Linked DNA regions of Drosophila melanogaster. The protein of the gene in region 1 interacts with the protein of each later gene in a biochemical or structural test. Each region holds a gene or a part of one and is shown in the gene's direction. Other genes may lie near its edges.

Evidence for each region.
Region 2: the proteins of Bap60 (region 1) and Bap111 form a complex in vitro, tested with the Drosophila melanogaster proteins (one study listed by BioGRID).
Region 3: the proteins of Bap60 (region 1) and osa form a complex in vitro, tested with the Drosophila melanogaster proteins (one study listed by BioGRID).

The regions. Positions count from the first base shown.
Region 1 is NC_004354.4:13,155,781-13,162,087, reverse strand, and holds Bap60 (brahma associated protein 60kD), read left to right. Parts: upstream 1-2,579; 5' UTR 2,580-2,714; coding exon 2,715-2,822; intron 2,823-2,890; coding exon 2,891-4,174; intron 4,175-4,234; coding exon 4,235-4,390; 3' UTR 4,391-4,643; downstream 4,644-6,307. Other genes in the region: Lgr4 (Leucine-rich repeat-containing G protein-coupled receptor 4), read left to right, coding at 1-170; CG12096 (uncharacterized protein), read right to left, coding at 629-998, 1,055-2,205; CG4332 (uncharacterized protein), read right to left, coding at 5,225-6,019, 6,099-6,307. UniProt on the Drosophila melanogaster protein: Involved in the recruitment and site-specific anchoring of the Brahma complex at specific promoter sites.
Region 2 is NC_004354.4:9,147,744-9,154,511, forward strand, and holds Bap111 (brahma associated protein 111kD), read left to right. Parts: upstream 1-1,565; 5' UTR 1,566-1,679; coding exon 1,680-3,929; 3' UTR 3,930-4,233; downstream 4,234-6,768. Other genes in the region: fh (frataxin), read right to left, coding at 628-882, 952-1,269; His3.3B (histone H3.3B), read right to left, coding at 6,369-6,497, 6,637-6,768.
Region 3 is NT_033777.3:17,713,316-17,720,229, reverse strand, and holds the start of osa (osa), read left to right. Parts: upstream 1-1,879; 5' UTR 1,880-2,274; intron 2,275-3,295; 5' UTR 3,296-3,463; coding exon 3,464-4,378; intron 4,379-6,914. Other genes in the region: Pxt (Peroxinectin-like), read right to left, coding at 1-199, 494-659. UniProt on the Drosophila melanogaster protein: Trithorax group (trxG) protein required for embryonic segmentation, development of the notum and wing margin, and photoreceptor differentiation. Required for the activation of genes such as Antp, Ubx and Eve.

The DNA.
Region 1 (6,307 bases):
GCTACTGTCACACCCTGCCCAGCTGCTCGCTGGTGAACAACGAGACCCGATCCCAGACCCAGACTGCCTACGAGTCCGGACTGAGTGTCAGTCTGGCGCACTTGGGCGGTGGTGTGGGCGGCGGGTCGGGGCGAAAGCGGATGTCACACCGGCAGATGAGCTATCTGTAGGCGGGCGCAACTGGCTTAAAATGCAGCACGAGATCAACAGACTGGGGCTAGTGGGTGGGTGGCATTACAACAGGACACTTCCATGTAATTGGTCCCTTAGACTATTGGTATTATACGTACTTATTGATACTTATTCTAATATCAATTTTAAATTACTTATAACATTTGAGGATATGATAACATAAACCTTAGACAAGAGATTCCAGCTATTTAAGTTTCTTTTTTGTATATTATTTATTTTACCAATCGTTTTAAGGCAAACCTCTTACAACTGTCCAAAGAATATCCTAACTATTTGTTGCATCCCCATTTATTCGACCTGCCCAATGGGATATTGTTACATGTGATCTAATAGTTAAATCAAATTTTAATTTTATAAATACATATTCAGATGTTAATTGAAGCTTTTGAACATAGGACTTGCAATCGAAGGCCGCAAATGCCTGCCATCCGGCTTTCTATGCGTTGCCCTGAGGTTCAGTGGCTACATCGAGATCCGCCTGGACGTGATAGGGTCCCTCGTTCACATAGGCCGTGAAACGGATGGTTTCGGTGGGCGAAAACTCAGCGCTAGCGGACAGAATCTCCATAATTTGCCACTTCATATACTTAATGTCCCTGTGCAGATCCTTTTGACGCGAAAGAAGGAACTCCACAGCACCGCCGGTATTCTTTAGAGCTACAATGCCCCAGTTGTACTTACAAATGGTTTTCAAGAACGACAAGGCGGCCATTTGAAGATCGGGGAACGGAGTGTTTATCAGGTCCATAATGATATTAGCATGCGCTCCCCCAGCGAAGCACTCGTACCAGTTTTTACCAATGTTACTGAAAAAGAAGAGAATCATTAGAAGAAAAACTTCAATTATAGAGTTAAGCATTACATGATTTCTGTGGCAGGCGGCGTCTTGAAGTCATAAATCACATCCAGGGAGTTGAGCAGCCTCTTCTTGATGTGCGCCGATAGCTTCTTAGTATGCGAGCCATACTTCTTAAAGGACTTCTCCATGGCCCCGCTAAAGTGCATGTTCAGCAGTATCTTGCCCTGTGGAGTAGTGGCCAAATTGGCAAGCGTATCCATGGCAGTGGGCAGAATACTCTCATCCTCCGATTGAAGCTGCATGAACAAGCAGGCCAGCATGTGCGGGTAGCCGCCAATGATTTTCAGAGGCTGGTATACGGAAATTTTGCCGAAAAACTTCATAATGCTGGGAACGAGCAGGGCGTCTAGCGGATGCTCTTCGACGCGTTGGACCCGATAGCTGATTATATCCAAAACGCGACGACGTTCCATGTAGGACAGACCATGGTTTTGTTCGGCCAGTGGCACTAGGAGCTCCATTACGCTAGCCTGCAATAAAACATCGTCGTTATCCAGTTCGCTGAGAGCCGCATCCAGAATAAATGTAACGTCACTGAGTAAGGTGGCACTTTTCTTGGCCAGGACCACTGCCAATTCGTAGGCGCGACAGCGCACGATCTCATTTTGCTTTAGGAGCTGTACTAGCTTTGCCTGCACATCGGCATTGCTGATTCGCTGAGGCAGCACGATGGATAGGATATTGATGGCCAGAGAGGTACTCTGCGTATCCGGTTGTTTCAGCTCGTCCAAGATGAGGAAAATAAGCTCATTGTTGGGCAGGGTGAGAACCTGACCGACGGTCAACTGGCGAAGCAGCTTCTTGAACAAACTGGCCAACACCTGGGCACGCAAGGCTGGATTCGAGTGGGTCAAGCCACGTCTTAGCAGACTGGACAGCTGCTCGTCGGCGGTGTCCATCGCCAGCTGATCAAGGCAGTGGCACAGCAATTCCAGGGTCACGTCCACGGCCTGATCCTTGGGAACATGGGAATCCGCGGCGGGATTGGCGCAGTCATACAATTGGTCCGTGGTCAGCAGGCGTTCAATTATTTGACGCGGAAGAGCCGCCTCCTTTGCGATGGCTGAGTTCATGGCGGTCAGCGCATCCAGCCTTTGTGGCTTCGACTCCAGAGCCTTTAACTTGGTGACCCACCAATTGTCTTCCATTTCCATTTGTTTTCTGTGTTAAAATGACAGTCGGTTTCAAACCTATCGTTCTTCGATTTCAGAAGACGTTACTTGTCCGAACTTATTGGCGACTATCGATATTGCTTATGTTTATGGCTTGACACTGCAACTATCGAGCGTTTGGGCAAACCAATGTTTTCGATCGATAGTAGCAAGTGCTAGTATATTCCTTATCGTATTGTTTGTTTGTTACAAATGTCTTGAAAGTTTTTAAGTATATTTTCAAAGCCAACTATATAGCTGTAACTCTATTGAAATGAATAACTTCGATTAAAGTGCAAAATGATAGCCGCAGCCCTGCCAAACGTTGTAATATCTATCGCCCAGTCGACCACCACCAGTAATAGTGCATCCCTGTTTTGACGCCATTTTACAGGCGAAATTGTGTGTGTGTTTGACGCGTTGTTGTATTGAAACAAAAAGGCAGAAATTTTCCTTCGTCTGCAAAGGGCAATTGTTTACGGCTGGAAAAAAGGGAGGACTTCGTAGCAAAGATGTCGCAACGCTTTGCACCTGGCCAAGCGCCGGTGCAGTCGCGTTATCAGCCACCACCACCGGCGCCCGGCATGCGTCCCTATCCGCCGCCAGGCGCCTCTTTTCCAGTGAGTTTTCCACGCATTATCCAGCACCTACCGTTTCAATTAAGCATGTACAATCTTATCCGCAACAGCCGCGCGGGTTTCCCCTGCATCCGAACACTACTCAACCTGTTCCCGGCACGGCGAACGTGGCCGGGGTACCGGGAGTTCCTGGAGTACCCGGCGTACCGGGACCATCGCTACTGCAGCGCGCCGCCCAACAGCCGGGCTTTCAGAGCAGCCTTCGCGGTACTGGAGCCGGAGGTGGCGGTGTTGGATCCGGCGGAGGCAGCAAGAGGTCAAATGAATCCCGCAGTTTGGGTGGCGGTGGTAGCAAAAGTGATTTTGCGACGGCCAAAAAGAAAAAGAAGCTGGCCGAAAAGATACTGCCGCAGAAGGTGCGGGATCTGGTGCCCGAATCGCAAGCGTACATGGATCTGCTGACGTTTGAGCGAAAACTGGATGCCACCATAATGCGCAAACGTCTGGACATCCAGGAGGCCCTCAAGCGCCCCATGAAGCAGAAGCGCAAGCTGCGCATCTTCATCTCGAACACATTCTATCCCAGCAAGGAGCCCACAAATGATGGCGAGGAGGGCGCCGTTGCCTCTTGGGAATTGCGGGTGGAGGGTCGCCTGTTAGAGGATGGCAAGGGCGATCCCAATACAAAGATCAAACGCAAGTTTTCGTCGTTTTTCAAGTCGCTGGTTATCGAGCTGGATAAGGAACTGTACGGTCCGGACAACCATCTGGTCGAGTGGCATCGCACTCACACCACCCAGGAGACGGACGGGTTCCAGGTGAAGCGGCCGGGCGATCGCAATGTGCGCTGCACCATCCTCCTGCTGCTTGACTACCAGCCGCTGCAGTTCAAGCTGGACCCGCGACTCGCCAGGTTGCTGGGCGTACACACACAGACCAGGCCGGTGATCATATCCGCCCTGTGGCAGTACATCAAGACGCACAAGCTACAGGATGCCCACGAGCGGGAGTACATCAATTGCGACAAGTATCTGGAGCAGATATTCAGTTGCCAGCGGATGAAGTTTGCCGAGATACCGCAACGCCTCAATCCGCTGCTGCATCCGCCCGATCCGATTGTGATCAATCATTTCATTGAGAGCGGTGCAGAGAACAAGCAGACTGCCTGCTACGACATCGATGTGGAGGTGGATGATACGCTCAAAAACCAGATGAACAGCTTCCTGATGAGCACTGCGAGCCAACAGGAGATCCAGGGGCTGGACACCAAGATCCACGAGACGGTGGACACGATCAACCAGATGAAGACGAACAGGGAGTTCTTCCTAAGCTTCGCCAAGGATCCACAAATGTTTATTCATCGCTGGATCATCAGTGAGACGAGGGATTTGAAGGTTAGTTCTTTTTTTTTCTTTTTTGCCTCATACCGTTGTCTAAACCTTTCGTCCTTTCAGCTGATGACCGATGTAGCTGGCAATCCGGAGGAGGAGCGTCGGGCGGAGTTCTATTACCAGCCATGGACGCACGAGGCCGTTTCGCGCTACTTCTTCACCAAGGTCAACCAGAAGCGGGCCGAATTGGAGCAGGCGCTGGGCATACGCAACGGCTAGGTGAATGATGAGCTGATCATCTCCACCAGCCAATTCGTGGAGTCCACCGTCAAGAGACCTCCATAAACCGTGCGCACGGCAAACTCTTTTTCCTTCGCCAGTTTAGTTTAAGCTTAAAATATTTCCTTTTTTTCCGACAAGCCGAACTCCATCCCGTTCCAAAACGAAAATCCCCTTTGCAGTTGTCCCAAATACCCACATCCAGCACAAATATTGGACTTAACTGTAAGCTAATAAAATGGCATACAAATATAAAACTGTCTATAAAATTTGATTCGGTTCACTTTTAGAAACACTAAAGTTTAATTTTTATTACGAGTGATTTCAGTTGACTTTATATATATTTAGCCTTTTGATACTTTTGGGTTCCCTTTAAATTTTAGAAAATGCATTTGTTGGTTAATTGAGATTTTAGAATCACTTGTAGCCTTACGATCCTATACGATTTCATGTTAACTGATTGTTTCTAAAATACGTTTTGATCTACATTTGGATATATTATTGTAGGGTTTTAGCTGACCAATCTAACAATGTGAAAGGCCAGCGTTTGAGTCATCTCACAATATTTCATAATTTATACTTTAAAATTATGTGTTTTAGTAAGTTCCATAGTTCTGCAATCCTTTGATGCTGTTGATTTAAAATTGTATAAAACGCATTTTCAGTTGATGCTTCTTAACTTAACGATTTACGCACAAGCTTTAAACGGTTTAGACTACAACACAGGATTAATATCACTAGTAAACTAAAGACGGACTCGGATTACTACGTCTCGGGCTAGACCTCAAGCTATAGGCGGAATGTGCAACCTTTACTCCTTTTGCTGATATAGGATCAATTTCGCTTCTTGCGATTGGCAGCAATGGAAGCGGATGAGCTGTTGCCCGTATCCGGGGTCTCGCTAATGGACAGACCCGTGTCCAGCCGACTCTTGTCAACCGGATACAGCCAGCGCTGATACAGATAGATAATAAACACAATATCATCGCGCAGGCAGGCCACCCGATGGGCCGTGGGCATGGTGATGATGAAGGCGAAGAAGTCGTCGATGAAGGTATTAAATGCTTTATACATAAATGCGCGCCACGGCAATGCGGCCACAGACTTCAGCTTGTAGTTTACAAACAGTTGCGGCAACATGAACAGGAAACCGAAGGCGTAAACTCCGTTCACCAGTGAGTTAAGTGTCCATGAGTACCAGGAGCGGTGTGGTTGGTAGAGGAGCGAATAGACCGCTCCGCATATACAAAGCGGATACAGCAGATAGCTCAGATATCGCATGCCCTGTCTGTCAAACTGATCAGTCTTCTGCTCCTCCGCCAGCTGACCTGACTTCACGCCAGCTTGGTCACCATTCCGCCGGTCAACTTGCTCCAGCTTGCGACGAACCAGGCCACTGAAGCTAAGCTCCAGACGGAAGATTTTCTTGCACTTCCACAGCTCAATGAGCGTGCCCAGGCCAACTGGCACAAGTACCAGATACGACGTATTCTCATCTAGCAGATAAAAAAAGATCACGATCTGCGAAAACGCTCGCCACATTGTGGTGCGGCTTGATAGCCCCTCGTACGACTGCTTTTTGCGCCAAAAGGCCACGTCGTTCTTAAAGCTTAAAAAGTCGAAGAGCATCTGCGGGAAAAGGGAAACATAAATTAGTTATAGGACTGGAGCATATGACGTATGTTGCAATTTTTCAATCTCTACTCACATGGATGCTGGACACAAAGATGGTGCCACACAAAAGGTATACATTGGTGTCCGAAAAGATGCCTTTCACCTCGTCAATATCCTTGGTAGCAAATCCAATGGTGAGCAGCGCCTGGGTGGCGTGTTCCATGAGCAGCATTAGACGGAGCTTGCCCACGCCCACGGGCTTGTAGTGGAAGCTGAATGTGAATTCGGTGGTATTGCGGGTGA
Region 2 (6,768 bases), 4.0 Mb from region 1:
TTTTTTTTTTTACCATACATGTGTGCTGCTGCCAAAAAAAAGAAAAGAAAATAATCACTACCTTCATTTGTTTATAAAACACCGAACAACAATAGAATTCAGAAAACATAAATCTGAAGAGCACGTGAATAAACATACACAATAATTCCGGAAATCAACTTTAATCGACTTTCGTTTGGAATTATTAGCTGGGGGAGCTTTGAGTTCTGAATTCTGTGTATTGAAATAAAAATAAACGAAATGGAACGTACAAGTGACAAATAATAAAATAAAATAAAATATGTATAGCTACATATGATGTTCTTCAATGGTGATTTGATTATTATTATTTGATTTATACATTAAACAACTGATTTTTAAGTTTATTCCTCTCAAAAACAACAAATTTAAACTTCGAAACCAAAACTAATCGTACATAAATGAATAAGCGAATGCAAAGCATTTATACCAGAAGCTAAGCTTCACAGCTCCAGGGAAGTATAAGTATATACCTTTGCTCATCCGCAGCAGCAGCAGTTCCATGTATATCGAGTGACCACTGTGCCAACAGATGAAGAACAATAAATATATCAAAATCGAACGTTTCAACCGACTTTTTATGGAGGAGAATTTAAACTAATCACGGAATTAACTACAGTAGGGCAGGCGTAGGAAGTCCACGGACTGTGACTTCAGTATGCCGGGTATCTCCTGCTGCAACAGTTCGTGCAGCGACTGACCACTGTGCTTGTAGATCCATCTGCCCGCCGCCACAGTGCCGACGAAATCGTATCGCTTGGGACCGCTGGTGGGCGAACTGAGCCAGATCTGCTTGTTGGGCGTCTGCCGGTTGATCACATAGGTGCCGTGTTGTCCTCCCAGGTTCACGGTTAGCACGCCATCCTGTGGAAGCGGAAACCCCGCGAGGATTAGCAGGTCAATGGAATGATGTAATAGCCGAATGTCACCTACGCTGTAAGCCACATCCGTGCCCTGCAGCTCGGAGGCGTTCTCCGTCAGCTCCTCGAAGTAGTCGCACAGTGCGTCCAGGGTGTCGGAGCACACACGCTCGTAGGTGGCGCCGTCCAATGTGGATTCCGTCTCAATTTGACTGCTAAACAATCGCCGGTTGGCAGTGAATTCCTCGCATTGAATAGCAACTGCGGCTATCGCTGGTGTGCTGGGCAGGATCACTTGGCTGGCGTGTGCTTGGGGCTTTGACCACCTGCCCATGGTGGCCAAGCATGCCCGACCAACGATCGAACGGACCATCAAACGACCGGCAAACATTTTTTAGTTGTTTACGATTTGTTTATATTTTACAAATCCCAGTTGCGGGGCTGCCAACTTAATGGAAAATGATTTGCCGTTGGTATTTTCTAGATTCTAGTGTGGTATAATTTTTGATTTCTATAAAGCTGAATAAAAATGAGAAGTTACAGATTTTTTTTATTAGTAGCAGCAATTCAGCTAAAGTGTTCTGCTAGTTTTAGGTAACTAAAATTTTGTATATTCTCTAGCAGTTACTATTTCCTTATCATATATATTCCGCTATATATACCAATTCCCGGCTTATATGATTTTTCTTAGAATCAGATACGGCCACACCTCCACCAACGCCGACAGAAAATGGCGTCTGTCTGAAAATTGTTATTTCTCTTGGAAAATCCATACAAATTTGACCAGCGAATTGCACAAAGATGGCCCTGCCAAGCAACTACAAGCAGATAGCCGTTGGCGGCCAGGGATCGGCCACACCACTCCAGGGCGGCGGCGGTGGCTCCGGCGGCGGCAGCCGGTCGCGTTCATCCGGCGGCGGAGGTGGTGGCGATCGCAACAAGGATCAGACGCCCATCTTCACGCACAGCAACTATGGGAATCCGGCATTCACGCCACAGAAGGTAACCAAGTCGTCGAGCAGCAAGAACCAGAACGAATCAAGGCTACCCAAGCCACCAAAGCCGCCGGAGAAGCCCATTTTGCCCTACATGCGGTATTCGAAACGCGTCTGGGATAGCGTCAAGGCGAAGCATCCAGAGCTGAAGCTGTGGGAGCTGGGTAAGAAGATCGGTGCCATGTGGAAGTTGCTGCCCGAGGATGAGAAGACGGAGTTCATTGACGAATACGAGGCGGAGAAGCTGGAGTACGAGAAATCGCTAAAGGCCTACCACCAGACGCCCGCCTATCAGGCCTACATGTCGGCCAAGAGCAAGGTGAAGACCGACGTGGATATGCATGAGACACCGTCACGCGGTGGCGGCAGTAAGTCGCAGCATGAGCGACGCATCGACATTCAGCCGGCGGAGGACGAGGATGACCAGGACGAAGGGTATACGACCAAGCACTTGGCCTACGCCCGCTATCTGCACAACCATCGCCTGATTAACGAGATATTCTCGGAGGCCGTTGTACCAGATGTGCGTTCAGTGGTGACCACCACGCGGATGCAGGTGCTCAAGCGGCAGGTCAGCTCGTTGACGATGCACCAGACCAAACTTGAGGCGGAACTGCAGCAGATGGAGGAGAAGTTCGAGGCCAAGAAGCAGCGCATGGTGGAGTCCAGCGAAGCCTTCCAGGAGGAGCTAAAGCGCCACTGCAAGCCGGCGGTCGACGAGGAAACTTTCCAGAAGATGGTGCTTCGCATGTACGAGGACATCAAGCGCGATCGCCAGCGATTGGATGAACCGAATGCGAATGCGAATAGCGCAGCGAATCCTGCTGCAGCTGCCGCTACAGCTGCCGCCGCTCCAGTGACGAGGAGCGAGGAGGCAGTGAAGCCGCCAACGCAGCCAGGTCAGCCCGCTGCCACACCCGCTGGCCAAGAGCCGGCGTCGGCGGTACCAGCGCCAGCAGCTCCGCCCAAGGAGACACCGCCGGCTGTGAAGCCCGCTACACTCAATCCCACACCGAGTTCAACGCCTACGCCGGCGCCAGCGGTGCACGTGCACGAAACTGCCAGCAAAACGGATCCCGAGCCCATGGACATTGAGCCACCGCCGAAGCCATCGGTTCCGCCGCCACCCATCAAGCCAGAGAAGCTGGAGATGGCCGCTGCCCTGCCTCCGCAGTCAACGCTAGTCGAGCCACCCAAAACGGAACCCGCCAAAGTGGTGGCCCAGCCCGGCAAGGTGCCCACACCGGTGCCGACACCCACACCGCCGCCTGAGGTGGCTCCAGCGGCCGGAGCAGCTACTGCAGCGACCACAACAACGACGACGACACCAACGCCACCGCCGGTGCCACAACAGGTGCCACTGCCGCAGCAACAGGGCGGGCCAGCTCCACCGCCCGGCATGCCGCAGATGCATCCACATCCCGGCCATCCGCCACCCGGACATTCCTTGATGCCACCGCACATGGGGCCGCATCAGCCGCCGCCGGGAATGCCCGGTCTGCCGCCGCCACCTCCGCACACGGGTTATGCTAACTACGGCGGACCACCACATGGCCCGCCGCCTGGACCACCCGGTGGACCAGCACGACCCTATTACCAGCCCCAGTACGGCGGACATCCCACGCCACAGCCCTACTACGCACCGTTCTCGCCGTATCAGCAGTCCTATGGCCCGCCACCTGGCTCGCACTACATGTCACCGCGTCCGCCGCCGCCGCAGCACAATGGCAATCCCGGGCATCCGTATGCGCCGGAGCATGGAAGCAATCCACCGCCACCACAGCAGCAGCAACAACAACAACCGCCACCAGGACACCTGCACGAGCCGAGCGGTGGAGGACCCGGGGCCCCAGGCGGTGGAGCTGGAGCGGCAGCAGCAGCGGCGCCCGGAGCCGGAGTGTATCCCACGCCCGGGGCAGGAGCGGGACCAGGAGCACCACCTGGACCAGCTGGAGGAGCACCGCTGGGCGAGGCCGCAGTAGCTGGGGGAGTAGCTCCGCCAGCGGCAACAGCACCTGGCAAGCATCCAGAGGCGGAGAAGCACGAGGCGGACTAAGACAAGGAATCCCACCACCCAGATCCTAGTTGTGGTCCCTAACTTATATATGAATCGATCCCTGGTGTTGTAACATAGCTGTCCCCTCCCGGAACTTCCGGAAGGCAAACAACCGGAATGCTCTTAACTTGAAATCCCTATTTAGGCGCCACACCTAAGAACTCCACATCAATCCCATTCTCAAATTAAGTTTATATCACTTTTTTTTCGCGAAGCCTAATTTTAATATTTTAATAACTGAGTGTGCGTCGCATTCTGGACTGTATGCTAAATATGCAAATAAATTAAATGTACGATTATATGTAAGTGGAAAGGTGTTTAAATTTTGCGTTCAATTTGCAATTTAAATGGGTATGCTTGAGTTATAACGATATTTACACTGACAAAAAGATGGAAAACATTGGTAACTTAAATTAAATAAATTATTGCTTCAATGTACATTATTATAAATATCAACATTTAATTACAAAGATAAGCCCTTAACCCCTATTGGGCGTCTTAGCTTACGAACAAAGGGGTTTATTAACACTTATTGGGCGCCTGTGGCACAGAACCACCGCTAGGTGGCGCCAGTTAATAGCAGCCTTGAAAACGCAAATCAAAGACAAACAAAAAAAAGGGGGCAGCGCCAAAGCCACCCACACACATACAGCTGCAGCCAGCCAAACTTGCACACACAGAAACGAGCAAGAGTAACACACATACACACGCACGCACCGAGATTAACACACGTAAACAAAGCAAATGACGTTTGGTTTCGATTTTTGGAGTCAACTGTACCATCGCCACCTATCCCGCCCGCTCGTACACACTATTCCCGTCTCGCTTTCGCAGAAAATACAATTCGTTGGTGTTGGGTTTTTTTGGTTTCTTCTATAGAAAAAACCGTTTATTTTTTATTTTCTTTTTTTTTTTTGCTGATGTTTCCAGTTATTTTTGCTGTTGCTGTCACTGATTTGTTGTTGTAAATTGTTTTTGTGTTTTGTGGGGGATTCGTTTTTTGTTTTCTGTTTTCATATTGGTTCTTGTAAGCTACGACGATACGAATAGACACATATTTAGTCCGATTTGTTTAAATGTTCAATGTGAAACTAGTTATCGACACCAATTTACAGCTATATGTATATTTATATATATATATATGCATGTTTTATGGGCGTTTACAATTGATTATTTTGCATGTGTTTCAAACTACATATAAATATTGGGAAATATTCAATGCTCTGCTCGGCGCTTTTGCTTTTATTTTGTATTGTTATGTGATTTCTGTCTTGGTTATTTTTATTCGATGCTCTTCCAAATCTATAGATGTGTAAGTTAATCTGATTGCTGAATCATCTTTATATCTTTTTTTCATCTCCCGAAGAAGAATCATCTTCTATCGTCCGCCTAAACGTATAAAATGCATGTAAATCTAAAATCTTATTTAATCAACTAACTCTGTCACGCCCATCCCTTCGTTATGTGTATATATATATATATAACTTCTATATATATATATATATAATGCTCTGATTATGATTTGCAGTAACGAAAAGTGAACAGAAGAAAGAGTATTAATATCTAGTTCTTTTCCTTCCGCATAGGTTTATATTTATATTTATATATATATATATATTTATATATATATGTATTTATGTATATATATGCATATACGTAAGTGTAAAGTTAAGTGTACTCGATTCGGTCTTCGGTGTTATATATGGATATTATCTTCATAAAAGCCGCGTGCCGTCAGTGGCATCGCCAGACGGCCATGCCCTCGCCGCCCATCCAGAGATCCGGGAATCACCGCCAGGCGGTCCGCAACCGTCTGTCCGCCTTGCCACGTCCAGCCGACGTTAGATTGGCCCCGATCTCCAGGCTCCGCACATCCCGGCAGCCAGATGGTGAACCTCTCCTCGATCGAAGCGATAAAGGCGAGGCAGGCGCCTTAAAGATCACGGATTACCTGGAAACCGAAGCCCGCCAGCTGGACAGTTGTTGGAGTGGTTGGTGGCGGATGTTGCAGGCGGACAGGCGACAACGGCCGCCCGGTGGTATTCCCTCCTTCCAAAACGAAGAGGTGGACCCGGATTTGGAGAAGAAGGAGCACGGCGCAACGTACACGGTGACACCGACGACGCACAGGCGAGAAAAAAAACTTAAAAACTAATTGATAATAGTAATAATAAGAGTTATAAAATAATTTTTAAGCATTACAGTAATGTTGTGTGTTGTTTTGTGTGTGGTGTTTTTCTTATCGACAACGTCATGCTGACGATTCGATTGAACAACAAAAGGATGATAAATGTATACATGTAAATATGAATGATAGATTGGATCAATGTGTCGCTGGTATAGCTCCTTGGCGTGCACCTCTCCTACAACGGTACGTGAATGGTCTACTGTTCGGGAATGGACGACAGTGATCGAATCTGGCGTTCCTGCTGATCCACCTTAAGCACGCTCGCCACGGATGCGGCGCGCCAACTGGATGTCCTTAGGCATGATTGTCACGCGCTTGGCGTGGATAGCGCACAAGTTGGTGTCCTCGAAGAGACCCACCAGGTACGCCTCAGATGCTTCCTGTAAGTCAAGAGAAATTCATATGAGTTGGATAACCAAGTTCCTTTTAGATATTAGTAGCCCCCCCTTCATAATCCCATGAATCCTGTCATTTTTAGTTAAGTTAAGCCACTCTGATTCTTTGGAGCATAATTCTCACCTGCAAGGCACCGATGGCAGCCGACTGGAAACGCAGATCGGTCTTGAAATCCTGAGCGATTTCACGAACCAGACGCTGGAAGGGCAGCTTGCGGATGAGCAACTCGGTCGACTTCTGGTAACGACGGATCTC
Region 3 (6,914 bases), on another chromosome or scaffold:
TCCTTGGGAGAGGTCTCCGGCTTGGGAGCAGTGTGATTCTGTCCAGTCTCGCAGCAGTAGCCGAATTTTCCAGCCGGGAGATCGCAAATTTGGGGCTTTTCATGGCTTTCCATGCGAACGTGGGCGGGACACTGGATTTGGGGCACGCATCTTATACCATCGCTGCAGGGAAGGCATTTTTTCAGCAGACCACTGGTAGCTACACAGAAAGACCAAATTTGTACAATTTACGAAATAAAAATAACCATAAAAATATAATTTTAAAATTGAAGAAACAATTATACTTTTATATTATATTGTATTTAATTTTACAAAAATTTGATTTTGTTAATTATGTAAATATGAAAGTTTTTTATGCAGTTGTTTTCAGTGTAGAGCGATTAACCGTAACTTATATTCACAGAGAGCGGACAAGAACACTTTCACCCTTTACGCCATTTTGAAATTGCCGAGATATTCAATTTATATCACTAAACGTACATATGTAACCAACCTTTTTCGGGTTTCTTAGAAGATTCAGTGGAAGTGGCCAGAGGTGCAGGAGTCTGCAAATCAGGAACTTCATCAAAACGATTTTGGCGCACAGAAAATGCTGCCGCCTGCAACTCGCTCAGTTGCGTCACAATAAGTAGCAACAAAATAAATAAAATGCGACTCATTATGCGTTTAATGAAACATTTGTTGGCTTATACTTAAAAAAGAATCGACAAGCTCAACCTAATCGTGTTAAATTGAACTTAAAATGCCGCCATTTTGCACTCGATACCAGGAATGCTCGATATCACAGCAAGTCGAAAGCAGTGTACTGTAATTCTCGTACGTGTGCTGTTAATGTCAGTAACATTTTACTGTTAAGCGCAACTTCTCTTATTAGCAAATTGTGCAAGCAGTTCAAAAAATAAAAATGTTCAATATAGAATTTCATTAATATTATAAAAAAATAAACAAATATTTTTTTAGTTGATATCCTTGGCAAAAAATATTTTTAAAACCTATGAGTAAAAATCCGGAAGCCAGTAAATCGAAAACCTAGTGTTCTACCAAAATAAATTTAATAAATTTTAACAATGTTTGTGACAATGATCAATGCATAGGGCGACTATTGATATTTAGAGTTTCACAAAAATTAAAATGTATTGCATCAATTAAAATTAATAAAAGAATTTGTTTTTGTGGATTAATTACGTTGATGTTGTTTACGTCTATTTTAAAATTGCTTATGCCGGTAGTTTTGTATGGAATCGATAATAAGCAAACCAAAAATCACGAATATATCGATGTTTAAACTCGCTGTAGTTGCATAGTTCTGCCACTCTAAATTCAAGTGGTTTGTTAACGGGGGTATAAACTTTCAAAATTGTATTTACTCTCTTATAACTTACCAAAATTTTATTATTATTATATTATTGCAATTATTGCAATTTTGCAATTTACCTTAAAAACTTTAAATTGACGTATTTCTAAAACGAAAGCGCTGGCCACGAATAAGGCTTTCTAGTTTTTATAACTTTTACATCTTCACAAACTTTTACGTGCTTTTATTCGAAAAAAATGGAAAATTTTAGCACGCCGTTTAATTTGAGTTAAGTTTCCGTTTAAAATACCGCAATAAAGATGGCGTCCCAGAGTAGCGAGAAATCGATATCGATGCCAACTCATTTTTGCGTCACACTCAAATATCGCTAATTCGCCAGCTATTGATTACCATATATATTTAAAAAGCGAACCAGAACGTAAAATAAATATTCATTGAAGTCCAATAAATAAAAATAGTATAAAATATGGATAAAGCGATAAAATTTCGTGCTAGAGCTATCGGGGGCTATCGAAACGAGCACCGATAATGTATCGCAGTGCCAAATACTCGTACGTATCGATACTATCGTGCGTGCTACCCGCTCTAATCTTGTACAGGCTCGCTTCTTCGTCATGCTGCGAATTTGTTCGAAAAATAAGTGAAATACAGCGCATTAATAGTGAAAAGTATGTGCAGCCTGTGCAGGGCCCAACTGGCGATTAGCCGCGTGTGATTGTGGCCGCCGTATCAGCGTTTTGGCAGCGCCCAGCCTGGCGAAAAACCATCGAAAAAAAGAAGAGAAAAGAACGCCAGGCGCAGACAGACAAGACTTGCATACACTACTACTTGAATCGTTTCATTTCGTTCCGTTCGTATACCGAGTTTGCTGCCCTGTCCCTGTCTTCTCACGCGAGTTCGTTTTTAGTATATATAGCCAGTCTGTGGACGGTCGTCAATGCGTGAATATTCTTCTATGTGTAAGTGGTGTGCGTGTATGTAGATTTCTGGTTAAGAAAAGCCCCAAAAACCAAAGCGCCCCGCAAAATATATATTGAGTCTTCTTGGCCCAACAACAAATCTGCCGCCGGACTTTCGCCCGAGGGCGAGTGAAAAATTCAGTTTCTCTCCTCTCGACGATGCACTTTGGAGGCTGTGTGAGTGTGTGTGCGAGTGAGTGCGTGTGTGTATACATATGCAAATGATTGGATGTCGAATCCTTGCATCATCATCATCTTCATAAACACTTGGCGAAAAACCGCAGGAAAACGCAAGCAGCCGAACAAAAAAAGAGAGCCTCTCAAGACAACGGCAGCGGCCAAAAGTGAACGCGCAACAAACGCGGCCAAGCAGGCGCGGCAATTATTTATAAATCTTAAGCGTTAGCCCCCCTCTCTCTCCCACTCACGAAAAGAAAATAAGTTAAACAATTGTGAGATGATGCCCCCTCGTCCATTCCATTCCAGTGCTGTGTAAACGCGAAAAATCGGCATAGAAAATAATTACGAAAAAATCATTACTGTGCTGCCCGTTTCATTCGTTTCACACAGAAACTAATAAAGCGAGCAAGGGAGAGAGTGAGCGAGCGAGCGAGAGCGCCATATGCCTTCAGCCTGGATGGCGAGCAAGTGCAAGTGAGACGGAAAGGGATACGGCGTGTGCGTGTATAGCCGCCAAATGTGAAAAGAGAGAGCGAGAGCGCCAACGAGAGTGGATGCGCTCAAACTGCGAGAGCGGTTGCGGCAGGGTTGTCAACGCACTACGATTTGCCCACCGTACGCGGCGGAAAATAAATTGTTGTGGTATTGGTGCTGCCTGTTCGAGTGAGCATGTGTGTGCGTGTGTTAGTAGCGGACTTTTCAATACACAACAGCCCACGAACGAGTACAAATTATTTATGTTTAACCCGCTCGATTTAGGCCCAGTGATATAGGACTGCCCCCTTTAATAAGCCAGACCCCCTTTGCCAAATGCTAATCCCCCGTTTTTGATAACTTGCAGCTAACATAACCTCAAACTCGCCGCTGCAGTCGTCGTCATCATCAGCGTCAGCGTTGTTGTTGTTGGTGGTTACCGGTGTTCCATCAGTAGCCGCCACACATCTGGGAAAATCCGATCCGGAAAATCTGGGAGATCGGGAGCAGCGCAGCCAGAAGCCGATGAGCAGCCATGAATGAGAAAATAAAGTCGCCGCAAACACAGCAGCAGCAGCAAGGTGGCGCTCCCGCCCCTGCTGCCACGCCCCCATCGGCTGGAGCGGCTCCTGGTGCCGCTACACCGCCAACCTCGGGCCCGCCCACACCCAACAACAACAGCAACAACGGTAGCGATCCCAGCATCCAGCAGCAACAACAAAATGTTGCCCCACATCCATACGGCGCACCACCGCCCCCAGGATCTGGTCCTGGAGGACCACCAGGACCGGACCCAGCTGCAGTCATGCACTATCATCATCTGCACCAGCAGCAACAGCAGCATCCGCCACCACCCCATATGCAGCAACAGCAGCACCACGGCGGACCTGCACCACCACCGCCCGGAGGAGCACCTGAGCATGCGCCCGGTGTCAAGGAGGAGTACACTCACTTGCCGCCGCCTCATCCACATCCGGCGTATGGTCGCTACCACGCCGATCCCAACATGGATCCATATCGCTATGGCCAGCCGCTGCCAGGTGGAAAGCCTCCACAACAACAACAGCCACATCCTCAACAGCAACCCCCGCAGCAACCGGGGCCCGGTGGCTCACCTAATCGTCCGCCCCAGCAGCGCTACATACCCGGTCAGCCTCCGCAGGGACCCACGCCAACGTTAAACTCTCTGCTTCAGTCCTCGAATCCGCCGCCTCCGCCGCAGCATCGCTACGCCAACACCTACGATCCCCAGCAGGCGGCCGCTTCGGCGGCAGCGGCAGCGGCGGCTCAGCAACAGCAGGCCGGTGGACCCCCTCCACCAGGACATGGACCGCCGCCACCGCAGCACCAGCCATCGCCGTACGGAGGGCAACAGGGCGGCTGGGCACCGCCACCAAGGCCCTACAGTCCGCAACTGGGACCGTCACAGCAGTACAGGACACCACCACCGGTAAGTGATCAAAAAGGGGATATTTGGGGATAACAAGGATAACATGCTTTTTTGGGATAGAAAAGTTGTAAATTGAAAGGTATATTTAGTTGCGTTCACGAGAAATCATTGCAAGTCCATAAAAATGTTTGAAAGTTCTGTAGATACAAGATATTGTGGAAGATACATCTAAAAGTCAAGAGTATTCGGCTTAAATAGTCTCCGAACTTGAAATAGTTGTAAATACTTTGTTCCGGTGTAATACGTTGTTTAGGAATGCCTTGAAGTATTTACCAAAAGCAGTGTTTTTATGATTCGTTTTAATTCACAGCTTCCGAAAATAGAAAATGCGGTTGTCTTTTCAAGTTATAGTATCTTATTTCATATTTATTCTCAATATTGCGGGGGCAACCTTCGGCTTTAAAGTAACGAAAAACTGGATGGTAGCTTAAACGCCTTCCAGGATAGAAACTTAATGAAAAGGACACAATAAATGTTGTGTATTCTGTAACAAAATAACCATTTTCCGAAAAGAATATTAAATGATCTAGTTGTTGCACCAGAAATGGTGTCATTGTGCCTAAAGGCAACCTCTTAAAGACTGAATACCAAGAATCTTATCGCCAGGGGTTTCCTTATGTATTTTTTTTTTATTTTAGAGCTGTCTTGACATTGACACTGATTTTGATTCCATCGACCCCAAACCCACACACACTTACTTACTGGAGTATTTCCATGTGCAGGCCTCCACGGCATGTGTTTCATGCTGTTGTTGGTGCGGTTGTCGCTGGTGGCTTTGTGCTAGCTATCTCCCTCCCCCAATCTCCTACCCCACCGCACTCCACACACCCACTGCCCACTCATTCCATGGAGAGGGGCTCGTCACGTTTTGTGCACATGTATTCGTTTGGGAGTGTGTGTGTATGTGTGTGTGCGTGGGAGGGAGGCTGCAATATTTACTGTTACTTTTTAGGGTTTCGTCTTGGTCGCACTTCATTCAGTTCACTGAGGATTTGCCAAGTCCCACTCGAAGGAAAGAATATAAAAAAGGGGCAGAAGCGGCAGACACACTGACACACATAACGTAAAAACATTGTACTCAGATTCCGCGCCTTTTTCGCCCGCCCCTCCCACTTAGTTCCCTGCTCCTCCTCCTCCTGTAGATACCCCCATCCCCTTGAAAATTCGCTGTTTAAGTGCCGGGTGTTGTTGTGCTTTAGTTGTTGTTACTGGGCGAAGCCGGGTGAGAGTGAGGGAGACGGACAGCAGAGAACCGGCACTTGCCGCCGCAAAACAATAACAACAAAAGGCCGCACCGCAACGGTAAAATAAGAAGACAAAGAAGAAGAAGCAGCGGAATAACAAGAAAGAGTTTCGTACACAAAAATGTTGAGGTATTCATTCACATTCTTTAGGGTTTTTAGGGTTTCCTGTCCCCTTCATGTCAACATTATCGACGGCCTGTTGGCCTCGTGTCTGATTGGAATAATTTTAAAGCTTATCATTGCATTGTTAGTGTTAAACGTTAAAAGAAAGAAGTGGATACTACTACTCAAAACTTGCAAAAGATGGAAAGGGGTTTGTTACACAGTTAATGAAGTAGTTATTTCTTACTGTTTTCTTGACATGACTATAATTATAGACAACAAAAAACATATATCAAACAGTAATATAGTAATGAGTCAAGCCATTTTTATCAGTCGATATAACTCCATAGTATTAAAAGCGAATGTAAAAAAGTGTTATACGGAACATAAAGATACCGTAAAAAGTCGCTCGTGTGAAAACATACAATCCTATACAATTTAACTAATGGACACACCGACCCACAACCCACACCTTATACGTTTTAATGGATAAACAGAAATATAATGTTTTTGGTTGGTTATGAACTTGTAGTACCTGTAGATTTTTTTCACAGTTCGTTTTGTGTTTTACTCTTTGTAATCCCTGATATCAAGAATTTGCCTATCAGTTGTGTCAAGCGATAATGCGCTTGAAGTTGGTGTTTGGTTTGGTTTGCTTGGTTTGTTGGCCCCAATGGAGAAGCACGTGATATGATTTTTTCACGTTTTGAATTAAACGGAAACCGGTTAATTGTTTTATTAGTGGGGTAGTGTGGTAGTTAGGGGGCTAACCCGCCGCAGCCCAACAAACTCATATTTGTGGCCCGATTCCGTGTCTATGTAGTCATCGGTCTGCCTGCTTCTGGCATATTTGATGTCACTGCAGTAGGATCGATTGTTTTTGTACTTCATGAATGGTTTGGTTTGGTGTGGTGTGGTGCGGATGTAGATGCGATGTCTCGGAATGGGAGTCAACGAACTTTTATGTCGACGATTAGACAGAGAAATATAAACAAATCTATGTGTGAGCACACAAATCAAAGCGATCCGCTAGGGTTAGACGTGTGCGATGCGGTGCGATGCGATGCGATGTGATGCGACCTTCGAGAGCTTTTGTTTATGGCTCAGTGTTGGTGTGTCTCTATGTGTAGGTAGCTAGTGCGAAATAAAAAAAAAAGGCTGAAAAAGAGTCTAGAAGCGCTGCTATCCAA